3 linked regions of the Alligator mississippiensis genome follow. The protein of the gene in region 2 interacts with the protein of the main gene of each other region in a pairwise test. Links are inferred from orthologs where the notes say so. Each region holds a gene or a part of one and is shown on either strand. Other genes may lie near its edges.

Region 1 (7,878 bases), on a different chromosome or scaffold from region 2:
GCCCAGCACGGGCGAGGGCGGGGGCGGGCGCCGGCAGGAGCTCCTATAGGGGCCGGGGCCGGGGGCGGCCGCGAGACGCCCGCGGGCTCCCCGGGGCGCCGGCAGGGGCCGGGCGCGGCTCCATGGGCGGCGGCGGCGGCGGGGCGCGCAGGGGCAGGGCAGGATGCTGTGGGGGCGCTCGGGGCCGAGGGGCTGTGGGGGCCGGGCGACGCGGGGAGGCTCTAGGGGCGGGCCGCGGGGGCCGGGCGGGGGTCGCTGCTCCGTGCGACCGCCGCCGCCGCCGTCCCCGCGTCCAAGATGGCGCCTGCGGCCGGAGCCGAACCGGAACCAGGCCCGACCACCGCGCGCACGCGCAGTAGAGGGGCCGGGGAGGGGAAGGGGGCGCACACGCATGCGCATGGCATGGTGCCCCCGTCGAGCGCATGCGCGGCGGGCGGGGAAGAGCTGGGAGCGACGCGTCGCTAGGGAGCGGCTACACCCGCTTGGGACCCGGCGCATGCGCAGGGGGGGAAAGGCCGAGGGAAGGCGCGTGCGCAATAGAAGCGCGGCGCCCTCTGAAAGGAGGGGCGGTGAGTAGCTAGGCGCATGCGCAACTGCATAGCGCTGGGCCAATCAGCGGCAAGACCTGCCATACGGCCGGAAACGGGCGTGACCACAAAGCAAGAGGAAAGTGATATTGGATTGGTTGGCTCCAAGAAGAGGGGCGGGACAAAAAGTAAACCTAGGTAGGGATTGGCCGGCCGAATAACGGTTGCAGGAAAAGGGGCCGCGGCCGTGGGCGTGGCTGCGGTCGTTGCGAACTCCGAGCTCTGACTGGACGAAGCCGCTCGGGGCTGGGGCGGGGCCGGAGGCCAAGAGTCTCCTTCTTATAGGTGTGCGCAAAGCCCGGGGGCGGGGCCACCCCTCCGCGTCTCCGCCCGCTGTTACCAGGGCAGGATTGGTGGCCGCGCATGCGTAGCGGTGCCCTGTGGGACCCGCCAGAAAAGGGCGGGAAAACGGGGCCAACGGCCCGAAGCGGCCGTTACACATCACCTGGTCAAGATGGCGGCTGAGAAAGCCCTTCCCGTCGTGGGGGACACCGTCTGCCTGGCCTGAGGCAGCGACACCAGGCGGGAGGGCACCGTGCCACGGCCCCAGCCATGCTGCTGGGGGAGCCAGCCCTGCCGGCTCCGTGGGGAGGGGTGCTGGTAGCAAGCAGAGACACCATACACCCGCCAGCCCCAACGTGAGGGGAGCCAGCCCCGCCGTCACCACCCCCGGGGCCGGAGGAGAGCCGCGCACTGCCAGCCCGGGCCGGGGCAGACGATGCCCTCGTGGCCGTCGGCGCCACTGCTGCTTGTGACCGAGGCGCTGCCCACCCAGGGAGGGGAGGACGCCCCCATGGCCGCCAGCCCTCCGGAGCGGCAACACCGGCGTGCATCTGGCCACGTCCTGCCCGTGGCCGCGGAGGAACAGGAGCCTGGGGCCGCGGGGAGACGCCCCGGCCCCAGGCTCCCGCTCAGCCGGGCGCGAGACCGCCATGGCTGCCAGCCCGGGAGGGGGGCCGCGCTGCCTGCTGGCCCCGGAGCAGACGCCGCTCCCGCCAGCCTGGGGCAGGCACGAGACCCCCCGCGCCCGCCACCCCCGCCCGGAGGGCTCTCGCGCACCAGCCCCGCGGGGAGGGCACGCGGCCCCCACGGCCCAGCCGCGGCGCGCAGGAAGCAGGACGCGGGGCCAGGTAGGCTCCAAACATTTATTAGGGCGCCGCAGCTGCAGCCGGCACCTGGGGGGGCGTCAGGGCACCGGGCCCAAGCGGAGCCACGTTAGGTGCCTGGACAGCCGGGGCCCTGCGCTCCGTGGGGCGGGGTGACCCCCCCGGGCAGCGCTACACCTGGGCCCACTTGTCGCGGGCAGGCGTGGGCCAGATGCCGGCGGCCGCCAGCGCGAGGCCCAGGGCGCAGAGGCCCAGCAGGGCCAGGCCGGACAGCACCAGGCGCTGGCTACACAGCGCGCGCTCCTCCTGCGGGGGGAAGGAGGGGTCAGGGCAGCCGCAGAGCCCCGCCCCCTCGCGCCCCTGCCCATAGCCCCGCCCCTGTTGCTGTTCTCCCCCCGTAGCCCCGCCCCTGTTGCTGTTCTCCCCCCGTAGCCCCGCCCCCCCACTATTGCTTGGCGACCGTCATAGCCCGGCCCCCGTTGCCCCGCCCCTCCCCATGTACACGCCTGCATTGGGCCCTACTCCCTGCCCCTGCCGTGACGTCCCCGCGCCCCGACCGCGCCTCACCGGGCTGAGCGTGGGTGTGAGCGCGGGATCGGGGTGGTAGCGCGGGCGGAGGCAGCCCCCGGTCCCCTGCGTCACTCCGGCCGCGGCCTCCGTGGGGCCCAGTACGCAGCGCGGCGGCTCCCTGCGGGGGTAGGGCCTTCAGTAGGGGAAGAGCCTAGGCCGGCCCGGCCCCTCCCCGCACTCACCTGTGTCGGGGCAGCAGCGCGGCGGGGCCGTCCAGGCGCAGGCAGGAGCTGCCGGGGCCGCCCCAGGGGCTCAGCGCCACCAGGCGCACAGGCAGTGCAGCCGCCGGGCCTGCGGGGGGCGGGGTCAGTGCGGGGCTGGAGTAGGGGGCGGGTCACGGGCGGGGTGGGGCGGGGCTCACCTGCCAGCCCGAGGCGGCGCGCGGAGACGGTGGCCGCGAAGCGCGTGGCGTTGGGGCGGGGCCCGCCTGGGAGGTCGAAACGCAGTGACACCTGCACGGACACGGACGCGGACGCAGCCGTCCCGGCCGTTGGGGGCGGCGCCGGGCCGGACTCGGGGCAGAAGCGCAGCTCGGCCACGGCGGCCAGCAGCGCGTTCCAGTCCTGCAGGGGTAGCGCGCTCAGTACCACCCCGCCCCACCCCGCGGCCCCGCTCGGCCACAGCGCCTCACCTGCGCCTCGGAGTCCCGCACGTTGTGCGCCTGGACGTGCGCGCCCAGCGCCGCCAGCGCCAGCCCCAACGCCGCCAGCCCCAGCGCACAGGCGACCAGCGGGGGGCGCTGCACCAGACACTGCCGCAGCGGGCTCGGCCCCCCCGCCATGCGCGCAGCTGCGCCCCGGTCCCTTTAAGGCGCGGCGCTCCCGGCGTGTGAGGCGCGCTGGCGGAAGCTCCGCCGCACCGCGCATGCGCCGAGGCTAGGAGGCGGTGCCAGGAGGCAGCGGAATGCGGGGCCCCCAGCGCGGCTCCAGCGGCCTCTTACGACGCTGGCGTAGCCATGCTGGAAAAGGGCAACCAGCCTCTCTGGGACTGTAGAGACAAGGGAACCTGCCGCTGCCCCTGGGAGGGGAAGCGTTACACACCGCCCTCTCCCGACCCAGCTGCAGCAGAAAACAATGCTAGGGGCCTGAGGTGGAGGCAGCAAGACAGTCTATCACACCCACCCTCGCAGTTGCCCATAGCCAAGAACAACAAGGACAGGGGGTCACCCCACTAGACACACTCGGCCAGAGGTGAGTGAGCCCTCCTGCTAGGGCAGCACTGCCTGCAACAGGGGCAGAGCCCCGGGGCTCGGAGGCAGAAGGCAGCTGTCTGCCTGCAGGCGCAGGCTTGGACACCTTCCATTTGTCTTGGCCTGGAGCACCTAGGCAAACTACTGGGACCAGGCAAAGGGCAAAGCAAAACAGTGGGACCATGCAAAGGGACGTAGGATTTAATGGGGACAGAACAGGAGATAACAAGACAGAAGCTGACAGACTGACCAGGCCAGGCCAGGCCAGGCCAAGCCCCAAGGCCACCATGTGCCCTCCACAGAACACCCTGGGGACCACAGCTGTCCCCTGCCTCTGTGCCAGGTGCATTCAGGGTGGGGGGGACCAGCCCCCACCACCAAACCTGCCCCCAGACGTAACTCCCCCAATGCACCAGGGGAGCCCCTTCCCCCACGGCCCATCAGGAGTCAGGCACCGGGGCAGAGGGCAGGTGTCCCTGGGGCCCTGCCCCGGGGTCATAGCAGCATCTTCAGCCCCTGGAAGGGAATTTAACCCTTCCCATCCAGGGCATCTGTGTAGACGGCCACACTGCTGGGCACTGCGGAGACAGAGCTGTGGTTAGCACAAGAGAACCCAGGTGTCCGGGGCTGTGCACCCCTCCCCCAACTGCCCGACCCCAGGCATCCAGGGGCTGCTCAGCCCCCCCCCCCCGCGGCACTCACCTTGCGTGTGCTCCTTCCAGATGTGATCCCAGGCTGTGGGGAGAGCAGGGGGTGAGGCCACGCAGTGCCCCCCCACAGCGCCCCACGCTCCCGCCCCACAGCCCGCCCGCCTTGCCCGCCACCCCCTGCAGTGCCCCGCCCCTCACCGTCGCGGTGGTAGCTGCGCGCCGCCTCCCAGTCCGGGCGGCTCATGCCGTCGCGCGGGGCGGCGGGGGGCCCCGGGTCGCTGATGAACGAGAGGCCCCAGCGGTTCTGGAAGATGGCGCCCAGCTGGGGCCGCGGCGGGGGCGCACGGCGCGGCGGGACCCAGGCGTCCGGGGCCGGGCGCGGCGGGGGGCGCGGCCGCGCCGTGTCGGGGTCCTCGACGAAGGCGCTGGGGTCCCGCGGGGCTGCGGGCAGAAGGGGGAGGGGGTAAGCGGCCGCCTGGGCCGGTCTCGCGGTGCGGGCGGCAGCGGGACAGCTAGCCTCCGCGGCGGTACCTGGAGACAGGCGGTTGGAAACGTCGTGCAGCCCCGCCGCCACCGCCACCTTGTCGCCGCGCGGAGCCCGCGCCGCACCCTCGGGGTCCCGGTTCTCGTCCGCGCCCCGCATGGCCCCACGCAACACGTGCGGCCCGCGTTTGCCACGTGACTCCCCACCCCACTTCCTCTTCCGCCCTCAGGTGACGCCCAGGCGCTAACGACAGTGCGCACCTTCTGACGTATCCCCTCTCTTCCCCTCCCCAACAGGCCTAAAGGCTCTAGGTCTGTGCGCATGCGCCAGAGGGCCTGCCTGCCGGGGAGAGGTAGCGCCCTCCTGTGGCGGATGCGCCGCTCGCTCTTACGCTGCCGCGACGTTGCATTCTGCGCATGAGTAACGCTCGCCACGCCCTCTCCCTGTAGCTCGGCGGGGAGAACCCGGATGTGCAGGCTAAGCGCGGGGGTCCGGCGCGCAGGCGCGGTGCGGTTCTTGGCTCGGGCTGCCGGTCGCTGACAGCTCGGCGGGCGCAGGAGAAGGGGCGGCCGCGGGGGGCCTCGGCACCCACCCCCGGCGGGACGGGGTGAGCCCAGGGCCGCCGGGCAGCAGGGGGCTGTGGCGGGGTCGGAGGTCGCCGCGCCGGGGCAGGGGACGTCTCCGCGGGCTCACCCCGGCCTCCCCTCCCCGCAGGCGGCGATGTCGGCGGAGGCCACGGCAGCCCCGGGCCCCGAGGCCTGCGCCCCCGCGCCGCCCGCGCAGCCCCCCGCCCCGGCCGCGCCGCCCGCGGGCGCCACCTTCGACCTCAAGCCCCTGAACCCCAGCAGCAAGTACGTGAAGCTGAACGTGGGCGGGTCGCTGCACTACACCACGCTGCAGACCCTGGGCAAGCAGGACACCATGCTCAAGGCCATGTTCAGCGGCCGCATGGAGGTGCTCACCGACAGCGAGGGTAGGGCCCGCGCTGCGCCCCTGCCCCACTCACTGCCCCCCACCGCCCCTCCCCCCGTCCTCCTGTCCCGCTCACTGCCCCCTGCCCCACCGCCCCTGCCCCGCCACCTGCTGACTGCCCCCGTCCTCCTGCCCCCACCCTCCTGCCCTGCCACCTGCTGACTGCTCCCCCATCCTGCCCCGCTGACTGCCCCCTGCCCCCCACCCTCCTGCCCCACTGCCTGCTGACTGCCCTCCTGCCCCACTGACTGCCCCCTGCCCCGTCTTCCTGCCCCACTGACTACCCCCTGCCCCACCGCCCCTGCCCCTGCCCTCCTGCCTTGCTGACTGCCCCCCGCCCTGCTGACTGCCCCCCCTACCCCCTGCCCCTGCCCTCCTGCCCTGCTGACTGCCCTGCCATTTGCTGACTGCCCCCCCCCCAGCTCTGGTGCTCCTGCCCCACGGCCCCCCCCAGTGCCCCCTGCTGAGAACTGCCATGTCCGGGATCCATTGCTTCCGGTGGTCTGGCTGGAGCAGCGGGGGGCGGAGGGGCAGGTCCGGGCAGGGGAGCCCGTCGAGAGGCCCGGAGGAGGAAGCGCCAGGCACGGCCCCGCGCGGCGAGCAGAGCCCTGCTCTGCGTCAGGCCGCCCAGAGCCTGGCGCGGGCCCTGCTGGCCAGCCGCCCTCTCAGCCCCGGCCCCCGCAGGCTGGATCCTGATCGATCGGAACGGGCGCCACTTCGGCACGATCCTGAACTACCTGAGGGACGGGGCGGTGCCGCTGCCTGCGTCGCAGCGGGAGCTGGAGGAGGTGCTGTGCGAGGCGCGCTACTACCTCATCCAGGGGCTGGTGGAGGACTGCCAGCTGGCCCTGCAGGTAACCTGGGGGCGGGGGCAGGGCTCCGGCCGCACACGGTGGGGGGGGCAGCGGTGACTGGGTGTCTCCGCGTAGAACAAGAGCGAGGCCTACGACCCCCTGTGCCTGATCCCCATGGTGACGTCCCCCAAGGAGGAGCAGCAGATCATCTCCAGCTGCTCCAAGGTGAGCGATGGGGAAGGGGCAGGACGGGGACCCTCTCCTCGCGCTGTCCTGCCCAGCTCCAACCCCCCACCCTGTGGCTCCTCTCCCCACAGCCGGTGGTGAAATTGCTGCATAACCGGAGCAACAACAAGTATTCGTACACCAGGTAAGGATGCCCTGGCCCCCAGCCTCTGCCCTGCCCTGCCCTGCCCTGCCCTGCCCCGCTCACGGTGCCACTGCCTCCCCCCCTCCCCCAACAGCAACTCGGACGACAACCTGCTGAAGAACATCGAGCTGTTTGACAAGCTGGCGCTGCGCTTCAACGGGCGCGTGCTCTTCGTCAAGGACGTGCTGGGCGACGAGATCTGCTGCTGGTCCTTCTACGGGCAGGGCCGCAAGATCGCCGAGGTCTGCTGTACCTCCATCGTCTATGCCACCGAAAAGAAGCAGACCAAGGTGTGGGACACCCCCCCACCCCGCAGTCGGCTTGGTACATCCTGCTAGGCAAGGCTGACAGGGAGCTGCACTGCACCCCGCCTGTGGCCACTTGCTACATTTCCCCCCCCCCCCCCAATATGGGAATTTGGTGCAACCCAGTAGGAGTGGGAAACTCCCCCCCACACCTTGGCACTTGCTATGTCCCAAATCTCTTCATCAAGCTCTACACTGGTTTGGTATGTCTCAACCCCCCATTTTATGAGCACTTGAGATGGTCCAAACCTCCCCCCCCTTATATTGGCATTTGGTATTTCCCAGAGCGCTGCCTAGCCCTAGAGCCTTGTTTAGACTTTCCCCCCTTCCCATTGATATTTGGTATGTTCCAGATCTCCCCGTTATGTTGGTATGGTACATTCCATCCCCCCTGCACTGACAGTGGTACGGTCTGAGCCCCTGTGTCCCCACCTCTTGTTGATATTTGGTACATCACACTGTGCTGAGTGAAGCCATTTTTGGTTTCTCCTATTGGTCTTTGGTACAGTCCAGAGCGAGCTGGATTGCACAGCTCCCCCATCCCAAGGGGAGTTGGTATGCCCTGGCCCCTCTGACCCCTGACCCCCGCGCAGGTGGAGTTCCCCGAGGCGCGGATCTTCGAGGAAACCCTGAACATCCTGATCTACGAGACGCCGCGGGTGCCCGACAAGGCGCTGCTGGAGGCCACGGGCGGCGCGGCCGGTGGGGGCGGGGCGGCCCGTGCCGAGGACGAGGACGGGCGCGAGCACCGGGTGCGGCGTATCCACGTGCGGCGCCACATCACTCACGACGAGCGTTCCCACGGCCACCAGGCTGTCTTCAAGGACTGACCTCCTGGCTGCCCCCACCCT
Region 2 (7,432 bases):
TCTGTGTTTTCATATTAGCAAAGCTGATTATGAGCAAGTTAATAGCTTGGATGAGCTCTGGATAATTTGTAAAATGGACTATCTTTGTACAAGAACTCAAAGGGCTGTCATTATAAAGATGTAAATCCCACAAATCAAATAGAGCACTAATAACTTACTGTTGTACCTCATTCCCATCAGGGACATAGCTCTGTGTGTTAGCAGGTCCCTGGGCTTCGGGAAAATCTTCCTTTTTCCCCACTTCTCCATCTTACTTTATTAACCATACGAGTGGTTCATAGTGAATACAAATGAGCAAAGACAGATTACATCAAGGTTTTAGATGAGCTGGTCATTTTCTCCACCCTGACTAATAGACAGCCCTGAAGTACACTGTGGAGGTTCATGGTGGGTCAGTATCTGGAAGGTGTGTGAGTTTTTGTGCATGCATGACACATAGCCAGAGCTGATGTTGCATTGTTCAACTGGCAAACTCAGCACGGGCAAGCCCTGCTCCTCCCATTCCCCCACCCCAGTTGGTGTTTTCCAGGTCTCCAGTCTCTTTTCAAGATGTAATACTTCTTGCAAGTGATACCATATATATCTAGATTTTAATATAGGGGGTGCTTCAGGATGTGAAGTCATCTGCTTTCTGAACTCTCAGAGTTCTGTCTAAACACCACAATCAGCAGCGACACAGTGAAAATTAAAGGAATTCCCTTCTTCAGTCACAAAAAATATATATCTTAATTCCATTTTTGATCAGCTCTCAAGAAAGAATGAACAGGTAAACGAGGTGCCATAACTTGTCCCTTCTTACTGTGCTTTCTGCTTTCCTTCCCCATGTTGCCTGCAGGTCCTTATCTCTTCTCAAACATTGCCTAGTCAACAATCCCTCTTTCCCAATCATTTCCTTTGGTGTTTCCACTTCAAGGTGTGTGGCTTTTGGGCATGGGAGGGGTGGATATATGTGCAAAGGAGAGATGGAATGTGCAAGCCATTAAAGTGTCTCAAAGCAAGTAAATGGAGCTGTGTTAAGCAATTATGGGCCAGATCCTTCACTGACCTAGATTAGCACAACTCAGTTTAAGTCAGTGTACCTATGCCGATTTACCCTTGCTAGGAACAGCTGTAACTATAGATACAGGTTTATTAGAGCACAAACGCTTTACCCAACCTCCAGTTAATTGAAACTCATGGTTTATCAAAGGTCATTTCTGTTCCCTAGTGCAACCTGCAGCCTGCTTTGCTTAGTCAATCCTCATTCTTTCTGAAGGCTTTTGGTATTTGCAGGGAAAACAAGGGCTGTGTATATCATCTATTTTATGTTTTTAAATTTGTTTATTTTCATAAAGTTAAGGATTGTGAAGGCTGGGCAGACAGTGGTATTCAGGAACAGGGCAAGAAATGTATGCAGAAATGAGGCTTCTCCTGCTTCAGGGGAAATAAACTGGCCCAACATGGAAAATACCTAGTGATTGACATTGCTTTTAACCTTATTTCCTGTTTCAAAAGTTCAGTGAAGTTCAGCTGAACAAAACCTGTACCTGATGCTGCAAATACTTGCAGTCCTTCATACATCCCCCACCCTTTCTTAAGCCACAAAACTTCCTTCAACATACACAGTTGTGCTCTATAAATAAAATCTTCGGGCCTATTACATACACCAGGAGTAGCACTGACATGAAATGGGACACCTAGTGGATTCAAAGCAGCAAGTTCTGAGATGCTTGCTCTGATCACTACCCCTCAGAGAAAGTGAGAAGAACAAGCAGAGCAGAGTAACTGTTGGCAAGTTTACTTTGCTAATGGGAACATCTGGGATATTTACTGCTTTTGCATTTAATTTCCTATTAGGAATAGAAAAACGAGGCACACTCTTGAAAACCACTGAATCTTTACTGTCCTGAGAACTTTAGAGTGTGATTTAACATTAATAATCCTTCAGAAATCTGAAGAACAATCAGAAGCCCTCTGCCTCCGGGCCATTTTAGTCATAACAATACTTGCATTTCCCTGTTACCTTTCATCTAAAAAGCTGAACAAACCCTGTACCTGATGCTGCAAATACTTGCAGTCCTTCATATGCTAGTTCTGTGGATGACATCATGGGGATTGTTTGTGAGGAAGGGACTGCTTTTGTGCCTAAGAGCATGAATATACCAACAGCATCACCACCACGCAGCCATGGATAATGGATACACAGCATGGCTGTGGACAGAAATGAAATTTTGGGCTGTGACACCATTGTGAGTCCTTTCTGTGCCCTGGGATCTTTAATGACCATGCAAATCACAGCCCTGAGACTTGGAAGACAAGCCCAAAAGACCTCACGCCTTGCAGGAAATTTAATTTAGTTGTGAAAAATGCAGGGCTGAGACAGTATGGTTTTATTCTAAAAAAACCCAGCAAAAATGAAACATAAAGCAGCAGCATTCTTTTCAGTCAGGTTACAAGAAGCTTGGCACCATCTTTATTCCCTAGTTAGCCGATTCTTTGCTTCTGGGGAAAATACTTTTAAAAGTTAAATGAACAGATTAACTATGTCTGGCTTCAGCATGGTGAAGCAGAGTGCACTGGAGTTATATGATCACAAATATTCCTAATAGCATTGGTGTCCTGAATACTCAGGAAATCACTGAGTACATTGTGTCAGGGCCATATTTTACTGTGGCTAGGTCGCTGCTGTAATTGTGAACAGCTGTGTGTGGACAACAATGCTTTCAAGCTGATTAGAGAAAAGGCAACTGACCCTATGTACACACTCCGAGTTATGTAAATTAAAAGTTTAACTTCTCATTTAAGGTCTTTTGAAAATCTAATGTACAGGCAGATAAGGCAGGTACAACCTGTATTACAAATTCTGGTCTGAGGAAAAAGACCTAAAAATAGATGCTATTAGGTAGCAAAAGTCCATAAAAATGCCTTCTTCTCCTTGACTTAAAAAAAAACCTAGAACTCTTGGTTCCAAAATGATATCTTTTATGAGACCAACTGGAAAATGGCAAGAAAATTGTCTTTTTTCTTGCTATTTTCCAGTTGGTCTAATAAAAGGTATCATTTTGGAACCAAGAGTTCTAGTTTTTTGTATGTCTTTTTGTCTCAGACCAACACAGCTACCAAGTACACCCTTCTTCTCCTTGATGCTTTTCAAGAGTCAAAAGATCCCCTTTATGCTCACCAGAAATCCAGAAATTGTACATCACAGCACAAGCTAAGGAAGGATAAGGTCCTTCTAGTACCATTAGTGGCCTCAGGATGAGCTGAGTTGCCCTACAGTAAATTTAAAAGGCTACATGGTTCCCAAAGTATCTGAAGACTCTGTCAGAGCACTCGCCCTTACCCAAACAAAGTGGCTGAGATACTGGCCTCACCTTTCTTGATTCCTCCATACACTTCTGCCAGCGTTCAGTCTAAGCCACCTGCTTGTTTGGCAAATCTGCTGGGGGGGGGCACTGCAGATCCCATCTTGGTCTTACCAGGCCCTGGGAGCTGCAGCCTCCTTGTACACTGGATCCTTGCACATGCTTCTAAAGCAGGAATTGCACAATACTGAAGGGACCCATGTGAGCTCTCCCTCACTTTGAGAGGGGTCACACTGAAATCAGCAGGACTCTCGGAGAAGTGTCCTGATTTCTGGGGGGAGCGGGGGGACGGGTAGGACAGGTTCTGCACCTGTCTTCTTGTGGGGCTTCTGATTATTTGCCCAGTCCCTAAGCTAGGCATTTCATTTAGCCTCCACTTTCCTCCTGAGGAAGGAAGTTTACACTCACTTTCTGATCCGACTCCAGGGATCATGTGCTAAATTCAGACCTGCAGTTAAAAGGGAGGGTGTGGCCGGCTAAAGGCTGCAACTAGAGGAACTAGATCTACCCGCGCCACTCGGTTGGCCCGAGGAGGGAGCTGCGCCGCGCTTCGCTGCACCTGGCGACTGGGTCGAGCCGTCAGACACGGTCCGAGGGCGAGGGAGGGAAGGAGCAGCTGCCGCCTCCCCCCGGCTGAGGGGTCCCGGGCAGATCGAGAGCCCCGGGCTGAGTCGAGCGCTCGCCTCCGCCCGAGCCCGCAGCGGGGAAGTGATCGCGCCCATCCCGCTCCACGCAGCAGCGCCGGATCTGAGACCCGGCCGGCAGCAGCGATCCGCCCCGCTCCGCCCAACCCAGGCCAGCCGGGGGCAGCTGCCGCGCCGTACCGGGAGCTCTGCTCGGAGCGGGTCCCCGCGCGGGACAGCGGGCGCCGCGCTGCGGTCCCCGCTCAGAACGCTCGAGTCGGCTTGCGTGTCCCGCCGGCCTCCCATTGGCTGCGCCCTTTGTGATGTCACGCCCGGCTGTTCTATAAGCTGCCTGGCACATAACGGACTCGGGACACTTGGCTGCTGCCCGGACGGGGCGGGCGGGCGGGCGGCAGGGCTGGGGTTGGGGCTGGGGCTGGAGCTGGCCTGCCCTGGCCGGAGCCCGGCGGCAGCGAGGAGCCATGGCGTCGGCGCGGAACGCCAGCGGGCTGGACAGCGCGAACAGCACCACGCTGTCGGGGGACGTGTGGATGGTGGGCATGGGCGTGCTCATGTCGCTCATCGTGCTGGCCATCGTCTTCGGCAACGTGCTGGTGATCACGGCCATCGCGCGCTTCCAGCGCCTGCAGACGGTCACCAACTGCTTCATCACGTCGCTGGCTTGCGCCGACCTGGTGATGGGGCTGGCCGTGGTGCCCTTCGGCGCCAGCCACATCATGCTGCAGATGTGGCAGTTCGGCAACTTCTGGTGCGAGTTCTGGACGTCGCTGGACGTGCTGTGCGTGACGGCCAGCATCGAGACCTTGTGCGTCATCGCCGTGGACCGCTACTTCGCCATCACCTCGCCCTTCAAGTACCAGAGCCTGCTGACCAAGGGCAAGGCCCGCGTAGTCATCCTCGTGGTGTGGCTGGTGTCAGCGCTCACCTCCTTCCTGCCCATCCACATGCACTGGTATCAGGCGGAAAGCCGGGAGGCCCTGGACTGCTACGAGAAGGCCACGTGCTGCTACTTCTTCACCAACCAGGCCTACGCCATCGCCTCCTCCATCATCTCCTTCTACCTGCCCTTGGTGGTCATGGTCTTCGTCTACGCCCGGGTCTTCCAGGTGGCCAAGCAGCAGCTGAAGAAGATCGACAGGTTCCACGTCCAGGGCTGCCAGCAGCCCGAGCACAGCGGCCGGCCGGGCCGGCGCGCCTCCAAGTTCTGCCTCAAGGAGCACAAAGCCCTGAAGACCCTGGGCATCATCATGGGCACCTTCACGCTGTGCTGGCTGCCCTTCTTCATCGTCAACATCGTGCACGTCATCCAGGACAACATCATCCCCAATTACCTGTACACCCTCCTCAACTGGCTGGGCTATGTCAATTCCGCTTTCAACCCGCTCATCTACTGCCGCAGCCCGGACTTCAGGTTCGCCTTCCAGGAGCTGCTGTGCCTGCGCCGCTCCGCCCTCAAGCTCTACGCCAATGGATACTCCAACAGCAACGGCAGGAGCGACTTCCACGAGGAGGACAACGGCTACCACTCGGGGCCGGATAAGCCTTGCGAGCTGCTGTGCGAGGGAGGTGCCGTCGCGGCCACAGGAGGCTTGTTGCACTGTCAAGGTACTGTGCCCAATGGTCGCCCCGAGCCCCCGGGGGTCAACCCTAGCACCCAGGTGTCCGTGTTGTAGGGCTCGGCCTTCCTTAGGGGCGAAAAGGCACCCGGCGACGTGGCGGCCAGAGGACGGCCGGGAGGTGCCTGCCCGGGGTGTGCGGATGCACAAACGCTGTAGCAAGGACCTATTTATAGGCGCGCCGGGGGGTTATTTTAAGCCTGTTGTAGCAGGCTCATCCCAGGAGGAACGGGTGACTTTTGTGGTGTCCTTGTCACTGTGTTGATCTACCTCAGAGCTCTGGTTAGAACCATCATCTTCATCTTCATCTTCACCGTGGCCTGAACCGCGGAGCTGCCTCCTCTCTGGGGCTGGGCATCGGGTCGGAGGCCTGCCCGTCCCTTCCCCTCCCCCTCCCCCTCCCCAGCGCTGCGGATGCTCTTAGCCGCGGACTAAATACAAAGTTGCGCTGACAACTTTTTTTAAGCGACGCTTTTCTGGTTCACTTCCTCCCCACGCCCGCGCCCGGTCTCACGAAGGGCAGATCAGCTGGGGGAGACTGAGGGGAGGGCTGGAGAAGTGCTCCACGCCTCCCTCGTGGGCTCCGGCAGCCCGGGGGCGGTGCGCGGGGCAGGGGCAGCGCGGAGAAGGCGTCTTTCCGGCCGCCCATCGCCTGTCCGAGGGCGCGGGGGTCCGAAGGCTTCCGACAGCCACGTCCGTGGCCCCCCCCGGCTGCACTAAACACTTGGCGGGGTGTTTTGTTTTTCTCTTCCCCTTGCTCTCCCTGTTGCCCCGGGCTCGGGCAGCCCGGGGGGCTGGGCTGGGCCATGCGGCGGGGGCTGGCAGGACATGATGTACAGACGTGCTGGGCGACAGTGCATCGCGATCAGCACTGCCAGGGCGGCCCTCGGGTCTTCCCTCTGCCCTCCTGCCAGCTCTTGAAGTGCTGCATCTCGGCTCCCGGCCCGGCGGGGGGACGCGCGAGGTCCGGGCTCGGCGGGGCTGCGCGGGGCTGTCAGAGGGAAGCTGATGCTCAGACGCACGCGGACAGGTGCGGGGGGGGGGCGGGGGGAGAGCAGCGACACGGGCCCTTCTCAGATCGGCAGTGGCAGGAAGCGATCAACGACCCCTCGTGCTCTGAAGGGCTGCAAAGAGCGGGGAGTGCAGGGTGCTGCCCAGCTTCGGGGGGAGCAGGCAGGGCAGCGACCCTCGGCCCTCGCTGTGCAGGGTGTCAGCCTGCCCCCTGGCTCCTGGGCCGTGCGGGCTGGGCCGTTCCCGTGTTGCTGCTCTGCTGTTTCACTAGTGCCCCCAGCCTGGGCCAGGGAACTTCCCCCGCTGTCAGCTTGGCTTGAGTAGGCAGCCCCTGCTCACTGCCGGCATCCTGCTGAGGGCAGGGGGCTCTGAGTCTGTTGCCCAGACCCGAGGGGCTCCTAGGAATCCTACCATGGGGGGGAAATCTCAAGCAGGAATGAACAAAATACCAGGGATGCGGCTGGCAGTCTGCTCAATGCTGCTGCCAAGGGGCTGGAAGGACAAAGCTCTCTGCACGGGAGCATCCAGTGCTGCGATTCTCAGGGGTATTGCCAGTGGATTGAAGAGGGACCACTTGCTGCAAAGTCAGACAAGCAGCTGCTGCAGAGCATGGGTTATCTTCTCCCTTTGTTCTTATTGCACTGCCTTACTTCTGGGACACAGGGTAGTTTCTCAGTAGCTTCCTGGGCACTCAGCAGCTGCTAGGGCTAAGATCATCCTAGGCTTTACCATTTCCAGTGAGGACAGCTACAGAGACTGTCACTGGAAGAGCTGGCCTGCAGCAAGCTGTGTGCACCTCCATCAGAAATCTGCAGGT
Region 3 (7,784 bases), on a different chromosome or scaffold from region 2:
CCTGGACACCTAGGTTCATCCCCCCGCACCGAGCGCCGGTGCACCCCCTGGCCGGTCACACAAGCACTGGCCAATCACTCCCAGCCACTTCTGGGACCCACCCCCCAGCAGTGAGAGAAACCGTGGGGGGACCCCCCTGTTGGTGGGACTAGTCACGGGGAGGCATGTGTCCCCCCAACTAAGGTGAAAGCAGTTGCCCATGCTGGGAGGTGAGCAGGGGGGGATGGTAGCCCCTTACCTCTTGTGAATCTTTTCCTCCAAGGATTTGGCACAGAAAGCTCTGATCTCATAGTCGACCCCACAGGCCTGGAGGGGGAGACCCTGTTAATGTCAGTGCCCCTCACTCCCAACCTGCAGCCCCCTGCCCACCCAGGCCTGCGGGTGCCCCTCACTCCTGACCCACAGCCCCTACCTTGCCCGTGTCCTCAGGCCCTGGCTGTAGCGTCACCGAACATGGCAGATTGGGGGGTATCTGGGGGGGAGGCAGAAACAGTTAAACAGGGTGGTCCCTGGGGGCTGGTTTGGGGTTTGCGGAGGCCACTCACTTTGAAGGCGAAGGGGTGGGCTCGAGGGCCCAGCTTGCGCAGCAGACGGTCCTGCAGGCGGGTGGGGGTGAGTGGGGGGGATGCAGGGGGGGGCGCAGCCTGCAGTGCCTCCGAGAACAGGTCCTTGCGGAAGGACAGACCAAGAACGTCCAAGTCCTCGCGCCCATAGCGGAAAGCGCAGGTCAGCGTCACGAACACTGCGGGGTTGGGGTGGGGTCAGTGCAAGCCACACCGTCTTGGGGAACCCCAGGCCCCACGCCTTGGAGACCCCCCCAACCCCTCAGGCAATACCCCCACAACAAGATCTTCAGACCCCAAGCCCCACCCCCTTGGGACACCCCCCATCCCAGGAACCAAGGGATCACCCATCCATCAAGCCACACCCCCGAGGACACCTCCCCCCCATAGGTCCAGGCCATGCCCACCTTTCCGGTCCTTCAGGTATTCAGGGTCCACCAGCACCACGCCATCTGGGGGGAGGGGAAAAGGTGTAGGGGGGGTTGGACGAGCCCACCAACAGCCCACACTCCCGCAGACCCTTTTCCTGACCCCCCCAAACCAACTCACCCACGAGGTCCACGGAGTCCAGGTGGTCCACAAAGTCCCTTTTGCCCAGGTAGACAGTCAGCTGGTGGGGGGGGGGAAACGTGACAGGGGGAGCAGACCTCTCCCGACCCCAGAATTGCCCCCCAGCCCCCAACACCCCTGCCAGTGCCCCTTACTCCCAACCCACAGCCCCCCAAAACTGCCCTCCAGCTCCTGGTCCCCCCATTACAGGATCCCCCAGGTGCAAGGAGGGGGGATTAACCCCTCCTAGGCTGTGCTGGACTCACGAGCCACAGCCTGAATCTAACCCAGCCACAGCCCCTCCCCCGCACCTTGTGGCCAAGTTGGGGGGAGGGGGGGGGGAGGAAGGAAGATGGGCAGGGGTGGAAATGCTACAGGAAACCGAAGGGGGGGCGGGGGGGGCTGCGGTTCAGGAGTGAGGGGCACGCAGGGCTGGTGGAGGGCAGGGATCACTCACCTTGCAGTTAGGGCTCGACTTCTTGAAGACCCTGCAGAGGGGAGAATCACAGCCTCAGCCCCCGCAACATCCAGGGGATCAGACCTGATCTTTGACCTCCCCCCTGCTCTGCCCCCAGGCCCATAACCACCAAACTCCTAAAGATGGGCTTAGGCCTAGCTGGTTGCCACAGAAACATGAAGCCTGGGGGCATCTACAGAGGCCTGAGGGGGAGTCCAGGAGGAGCCTTAAGGGTGATGAGGAGCCTAGTCCTTGGGGGCAGGGGGCACCAGCAGGAGCTACAGGTCAGGAGTGAGGGGCACCAGGAGGGTTGGGGGGGCAGGGGCTGCAGGTCAGGAGTGAGGGACACAGGCAGGGCAGTGGGGGTAGGGAGGGGCCGTGGCTGTGACAGGACGTGCTGCTTCCTGTTTGTTTCTAGACGGGAAGTAGCACGGAGGATCCTCATGTCCGTCCATCCCCCACAATGGCCAACCTGCCCCCCACAACCCAGAACAGGACCCTGATCTGGGGGGCTGCAGTGCAATGATGCCCCCCACCCCACCACCAGCTGCAGCAGGGAACCCCGTTACACCTGGCCCTGTTCCACCCCAGAGGCAGCCGCACCTAGGACCTGTTCTACCCAGCCCCAACGCCCCACCCCAGAGCCAGCCGCACAGGGGACCCGTTATCCCTGCTCCCTGCAGTACCCTGGGGCTTGAACTGTGGAGTGGAGGGGGGTCACATCTCCTCTCCCCCTGCACCCTCCCACCCCCACCCAGCCCTTGCCAACTTCCGAATTAACGCTTGGCAATTTTCACTTCCTCTTTCTGGCCTGGAAGCCCCAAAAGGCTCAACTGCCTCATTAGCTGCAGCTTCCCTCCCCCAGCCCCAAAGGGTGTGGGGCAGGGGCTGCGGGTCAGGATTGAGGGGCACTGGCAGGGCTGGGGGGGCAGGAGCCTGCAGGTCGGGAGTATGGGGCACCCATGAGGCTTTGGGGGGCTGCAGATCAAGAGTGAAGGGCACTGGGCAGTAGGGGGCTGCGGGGCAGGAGTGAGGGGCACCGGCGGGGCCAGGGGTCTCCAGAGAACCCAGGCGTCCTGGTCTCTCTCGCCCCCCACAAAAAACGGACCCAGGCGTCCGGGGCCGGCGATGCCAGGCGCGGGCAGCTCCATCATTCCCCCTCCCCTCCCAGCCTGGCACGGCAGGACCCTGAGCCCAGATTAGCCGGGGAGCGGGGGGCGGACGCCGGAGGAGCGGAGGGGGTGGGCGCGGGAGGCTGGCCCGGACGCCGGGGCTCTCGCGGGGGGGGCGTCCAGACGCCTGGGGTCCCTGCCCCTCACCTGGTGCCCGCCTTCTCCCCCATGGCGCGGGGGGTCCTAGGCGGGCGGCGGGAGCCCCCGGCGCGGGCTGCAGGGAGTTGCGGACCCGAGTGGGGACATGGCAGGGGAGGGGGGGGCGGTCACGTGGGGGGGCGGGGCAGCCAATCACAGGGCGCGCGGGGGAGGAGGGGGGGACGTCAAGGGCGGGAGAGTTCCCCCCTCGCGTGCCCCAGGCGTAGTACACGCGTGTGCTTTGTACTTGTGCGTGTACATGCAGGCACATGTTTACACATGTAGTACACACGCGTGTGCACCTGCAACCACTCCACGCACACCTGCACGCATGTGCACAGGTCTGCACACACACACACATCCATGCGCATGGGGGTTGTGCAGATGCACACAGTTGCACGTTTTTGGGCGCACACAGGTGTGCCTGCGTCCCCCACGTGTATGGAAGCACACCAATGCAGAGCCGTCCACATGGGCAGTTGGGCCTGGATCCTCACACACATGCTTTGTTCTGGCCACAGGTCTCCACAGGCAGCCAAGTGTGTGTCTGTGTGTGTGTGTGCACGCATGTGCAAATGAGCCCCCACCTGCACACATGCACCCCCACCTGCACATGCACACACGTGTGCAAACAGGCCTGCAGACATACACACACGTGCAAACACACGTACACTGATCTGCATGCGCACACCTTTGAGCACAGATCTGCACACATATACCAAGATTTGTAGACACACACGGGTGAACTCCCACCATCCTCACATGCATGTGCACACAGCTGTGCATGGAGCTGCATGCACACATGCACACATTTTCATGCCCACATGCACATACACCCCACACATGCACCCATACACCCTCATACGTGCAAACATGACTGCACAGATCTCCACACCACCCTTGAGCACAGATCTGCACATGCACACATGCAAATTTTTAGACACATGTAAGTGAACTTGCATCTTACCCACACGCATGTGCACACAGCAGACAGTTGTGCATGGAGCTGCACACACGCACATCTTCATACCCAGTGCACATACATCCCCCCCCCACACACACACACACCTGTGCTTGGACACAACCGCACCCCTCTTGCACACAGCGCTGTGTTCACACCCGCGGCCCCTTGGCACACGCACACGCCCATACCCACGTCCGGCCACCACGGGGCGCTGGGGGCGGGCGTGACTCAACCCCAGCCAGGAACCTGCCTGTGGTTACGGGCCCGGGGGGACTGGCAGGATCCAGCTGACCCGAGACTGGGCAGAGCTGGGGGGCAAGGAGGGGACCCCTGGTCTGAACCAGTCTGTGCCCAGTGCTCTGGACGGGATCGTCTGGGCTGGTTTGGACAGGGCTGGGATTAACGAGGGCAGGCCTAACGACACAGCGGTCTCAGTGTAACGCAGAGGAGATTAGGTCACCTAGGCCCAGGACTATACGGACAGGGCATCTGTCCCCTAGCCCCAGGACTAAGGGTCTAAGTCTCTGCGAGAGGAGGGGCCTGGGGTGGGAGGAGGGGACTGGAGGCCCAGACCCTGGTTCTCGGTGGGGGACTGGGACCAGCGGGGCGGCTCAAGTCCCTTTACGACCCTCTTGCGGGGGATCATCCAATTTCTATGTGCCCATATGACCCAGCTCTGGGCCTTGTCACGTGACCCCTGTCCCCGCGCCCGGGAGCTCTGTGGGCCGTACCATTCTCCCCCGAAGTGTAAAAGGGAGCTTAGTTCCCCCGTATCCCGCTCCACCCCCTCCTCCGGTACAATCCGGCTCTTATAACCACCCCCGCCCCCAGAATGATGGGGGTGGGGGGAATTAGGGGCTTCGTCGAAGTGTCCCCATGAATAGCCCCCACCTTGAACAGAATGGAACCGTCCAGGCCCATCCCCTTCTCGTCGCTTTCCAGGGGTCGCCGCCAAGTGGTACCTCCCTCCCTCTGTTCCCCCCCTGCGCTCAGCTGCCGAATGGTAGCTGCCGCCTCTTATTTATTCCCCCCCCCCCCTCCCCCCGGACGATGATCTTCTGTTCTTGCCCCTCCCTGTCAAATGCTTCCCGGGAGCGGGCAGCAGCGGTTTTTGGTAATGGGGGCCCCTTGCTGGGAGCAGAGTCAGGTCCTTGGACCGACAAGAAGGGGGTTGGGGGGATCTAGCAGTCCCCTTTCTGTGGGGGGTCTGAGCCGCAGCTCTGGGGTGTTGCACCCCCCAAATCTGTCTCCCCCCCCCACGCTGGAGGTTTTTGTCTTGTGCAATGGAAGTGGACCCTGCAGCTGCCCTAGAGCCTCGGGTGTCTCATGGGGAGAAGATTGGCTCTATACTGGAGGGGGAGGGGAAGGGGAAGGATGGGGGTTGGCTATAGGGGTATTTGCTATATATAGAGGACCAGACTGGAGATGGTCTTCTTTATAGGAGAAAAGGATTGGGAGGTTGTCTGTCCACTAGGGAGCAGAGAGCGGGGGGGGGGGGCGGTTAGGTGCATTGTGGGTAGGTTGAAGTGGCTACACAGAAAGAGTAGGATGGAGAGGCTGGTTCTATGTTGGGGGGGGGGGAGGACTGGGCAGTTCTCAAGGGCTTTTCCACATCCATTGTGGGGTTGGCTATATTAGGGAGTAAGCATGCAGGGGTTGGATTTATGGTGGGGAAGAAGGAATTGAGATTCCCTCTATGGAGGGGGGGTTCTCAAGTGTGCTTCCCAGTGCATTAGGCCTTGGCTCTGTTGGGGTTGGCTTTATGGGTGGGTGGGGGGTGCAAAGGCTCTGGAGGGAGAGGTTCCCCAAGGGCTTTTCCAGCTGCATTGTGGGTAGGGGGGGGACTTGTCTCTAGAGGGGAAGTGATTGGTTGGCTGTATGGGGGGAGAGGGAGTTGGGCTTTCAGGTGCATTGTGGGTAAGGAGGGCATTTTAGGGGAAGGGGCTGATGCTAGGACAGTGAGGGTTGGGGGCACATTTAAATGAATGAGGGGTCCTCCATGCTGCCAAGAACAGCTGGTACCATTGAAACTCGAGGGGAGGGGGGTTGGATGTCCTTAACCATGGAAATGCAGGTGGCTGTGGCAGGCTAAAGCATCCGCCTGCACAAACGGGGACTAGAGTGTCCATCACAGTCAGCCCTAGTGGATCCAGGGGGCTAAAGTATCTGCTGCCACCACTGAGATTCTTTGAGGACAGTGGGGCTGGAGCACCCCACTCCTGGTTGGGCTGATGCAGTGGCCAAGGGCCATGACTTCAACCTGTTATCACAGTTGATCCCATGCAGTGGCTCAGTGGCGGAGACAGAAGAACGACAGAAACAGAAGGAAAAGAAACCCCAGTATTGTCAAACGTCTTTAGTTTATCTGTAAAAATCATGCATTTAAAACAAAAACATTGTATTTTTACCTCCATAAAAAACAATACCATTTGAAAATCAACCCTGACCCAAACCTCAATTGAACCGATGCAAAAATATATTATTTTACATACAGAATTTCCAGTTTTGTAAAACCAAATCTTGCTTCTGGAGCAAAGTGTGAAGCTGGTCGCTCAAACAGGAAATGTTGCAGTAGCGGAACAAACAATGATGCAGCCCAATTTACAAATGAAGTGGCAAAAAGTGCTCCTAAAAAAAGTCTGAGTAGCTCTGCAGCATAATGCCCAACACGTTTGCACAAGTCAGGTAAAGCAAGCACTAAGTCATGGTTAATAAAAGTCTGTTACAATAATTGTGCAGCTGCCCACAAAGACCTGGTGAGAGAACTCCAACATCCAGGCTCCCAGACCCCCCTGCCATCACACTCCAGCCCGCTCCCATCCAAGAGAACCAAGACATCTGGGCTCCCAGCTTCCTCCTTCCCACCCCAACGTGCCAGGGCTGAGTCCCCGGCAGCAGCCCAGCCCAGTCCCCACCCCCAGCCTGGGCTGCAGCAGCACCCAATGCTGCTAGGGGAAGGGAAACCCCCTGACTCATGGGGGGGTGGCAGCATGCAACAGAGCCCAGCTAGCTGGAAGAGACCCAGGCCCAGGTTACCCCCTGTCAAGAGACCACATTTGATACAGCTGATATCCAAAAGCAGGGGATGACCTGAGTGTCGCAGTGCCTCAGCCCTGCCTGGGACTCTTCCCTGGCTGCTGGGTGCCCCCCCCCCTTGTTGCCCCATGTGTCAAGGGGTTTTTAAGCCTCCCCCAGAGGCACTAGGTGCTGCTGCTAGCACCAATCCCGCAGGGTCCTGGCTAGAGGATCTTGCCCCTGCGCTTCCACCTCCAGGGGGGCACACAGCTTCAGAGCCAAGAGCAACCCCGCGGTGGCACCGAAGGGCCTCGACTGCATGCAGTGACCAAGGTTGATAAAAGGGTTCTCTAAGGTATGAGTGGGCTGGATGGCAGCAGGTCTGGCCTGCTCCGGCCTGGCTTCCCTCCAGGGCAGGGGTGACCAACCTAAGCCTGAGAAGGAGCCAGAATTTAGCAATGTACATTGCCAAAGAGCCACAGTAATATGTAATATGCAAGCAGTCATGTCACGTGACATAACGGCTATAGCAGCTGGTCACCGTGCTTGTGCAAAGGTTCAAGGAGATGCATATTAACTTTTGAAGAGCCGCACGTGGCCCCAGAGCCACCAGTTGGCCACCCCAGCTCTAGGGCCTGTCCCATACACTTCATTTCTATGAAATGCTGGGAGGGGTGTGGGGGGTTAACTTGAAAGTGTAGGGATGAGCTCATTTTGGAAAACTTTTCTCCTGCGAGAGCTGGGAAGGCATCTGCCTCCGGCCTTCCCACCGTGTGCAGTAGCCCAGCAGCGACAATATTTCCCCCTGGCGCACACACACTAGTCAACAGCACTGAGGAGAGGGGTTGGCCCTGAGGTCTGCTGCTACACAGTGGGTTGGGAAGGTAAATCTCTACCTGACTAAAGGCTGCCCGGACAAGCAACCT

The links. The genes of interacting proteins can lie anywhere in the genome.
Region 1: the proteins of ADRB2 (region 2) and KCTD13 interact in a protein complementation assay, tested with the Homo sapiens proteins (2 studies listed by BioGRID and IntAct, with this or other methods). The link is inferred for Alligator mississippiensis from reciprocal best matches to the Homo sapiens genes ADRB2 and KCTD13.
Region 3: the proteins of ADRB2 (region 2) and ARRB2 interact in binary tests that used the Homo sapiens proteins (3 or more experiments, as listed by UniProt). The link is inferred for Alligator mississippiensis from reciprocal best matches to the Homo sapiens genes ADRB2 and ARRB2.

What each region holds. Positions count from the first base shown.
Region 1 is NC_081830.1:279,171-287,048, forward strand, and holds the start of KCTD13 (BTB/POZ domain-containing adapter for CUL3-mediated RhoA degradation protein 1), read left to right. Parts: upstream 1-4,873; 5' UTR 4,874-5,193; intron 5,194-5,300; 5' UTR 5,301-5,306; coding exon 5,307-5,559; intron 5,560-6,242; coding exon 6,243-6,412; intron 6,413-6,487; coding exon 6,488-6,577; intron 6,578-6,669; coding exon 6,670-6,722; intron 6,723-6,816; coding exon 6,817-7,012; intron 7,013-7,620; coding exon 7,621-7,857; 3' UTR 7,858-7,878. Other genes in the region: ESX-1 secretion-associated protein EspI, read right to left, coding at 1,865-1,999, 2,261-2,381, 2,625-2,826, 4,155-4,187, 4,301-4,543, 4,634-4,745. UniProt on the Homo sapiens protein: Substrate-specific adapter of a BCR (BTB-CUL3-RBX1) E3 ubiquitin-protein ligase complex required for synaptic transmission.
Region 2 is NC_081832.1:60,956,045-60,963,476, reverse strand, and holds the start of ADRB2 (beta-2 adrenergic receptor), read left to right. Parts: upstream 1-4,417; 5' UTR 4,418-4,449; coding exon 4,450-5,593; intron 5,594-7,432. UniProt on the Homo sapiens protein: Beta-adrenergic receptors mediate the catecholamine-induced activation of adenylate cyclase through the action of G proteins. The beta-2-adrenergic receptor binds epinephrine with an approximately 30-fold greater affinity than it does norepinephrine.
Region 3 is NC_081838.1:23,720,524-23,728,307, forward strand, and holds the start of ARRB2 (beta-arrestin-2), read right to left. Parts: upstream 3,006-7,784; 5' UTR 2,912-3,005; coding exon 2,889-2,911; intron 1,601-2,888; coding exon 1,570-1,600; intron 1,174-1,569; coding exon 1,113-1,173; intron 1,016-1,112; coding exon 971-1,015; intron 743-970; coding exon 546-742; intron 473-545; coding exon 413-472; intron 307-412; coding exon 239-306; intron 1-238. UniProt on the Homo sapiens protein: Functions in regulating agonist-mediated G-protein coupled receptor (GPCR) signaling by mediating both receptor desensitization and resensitization processes.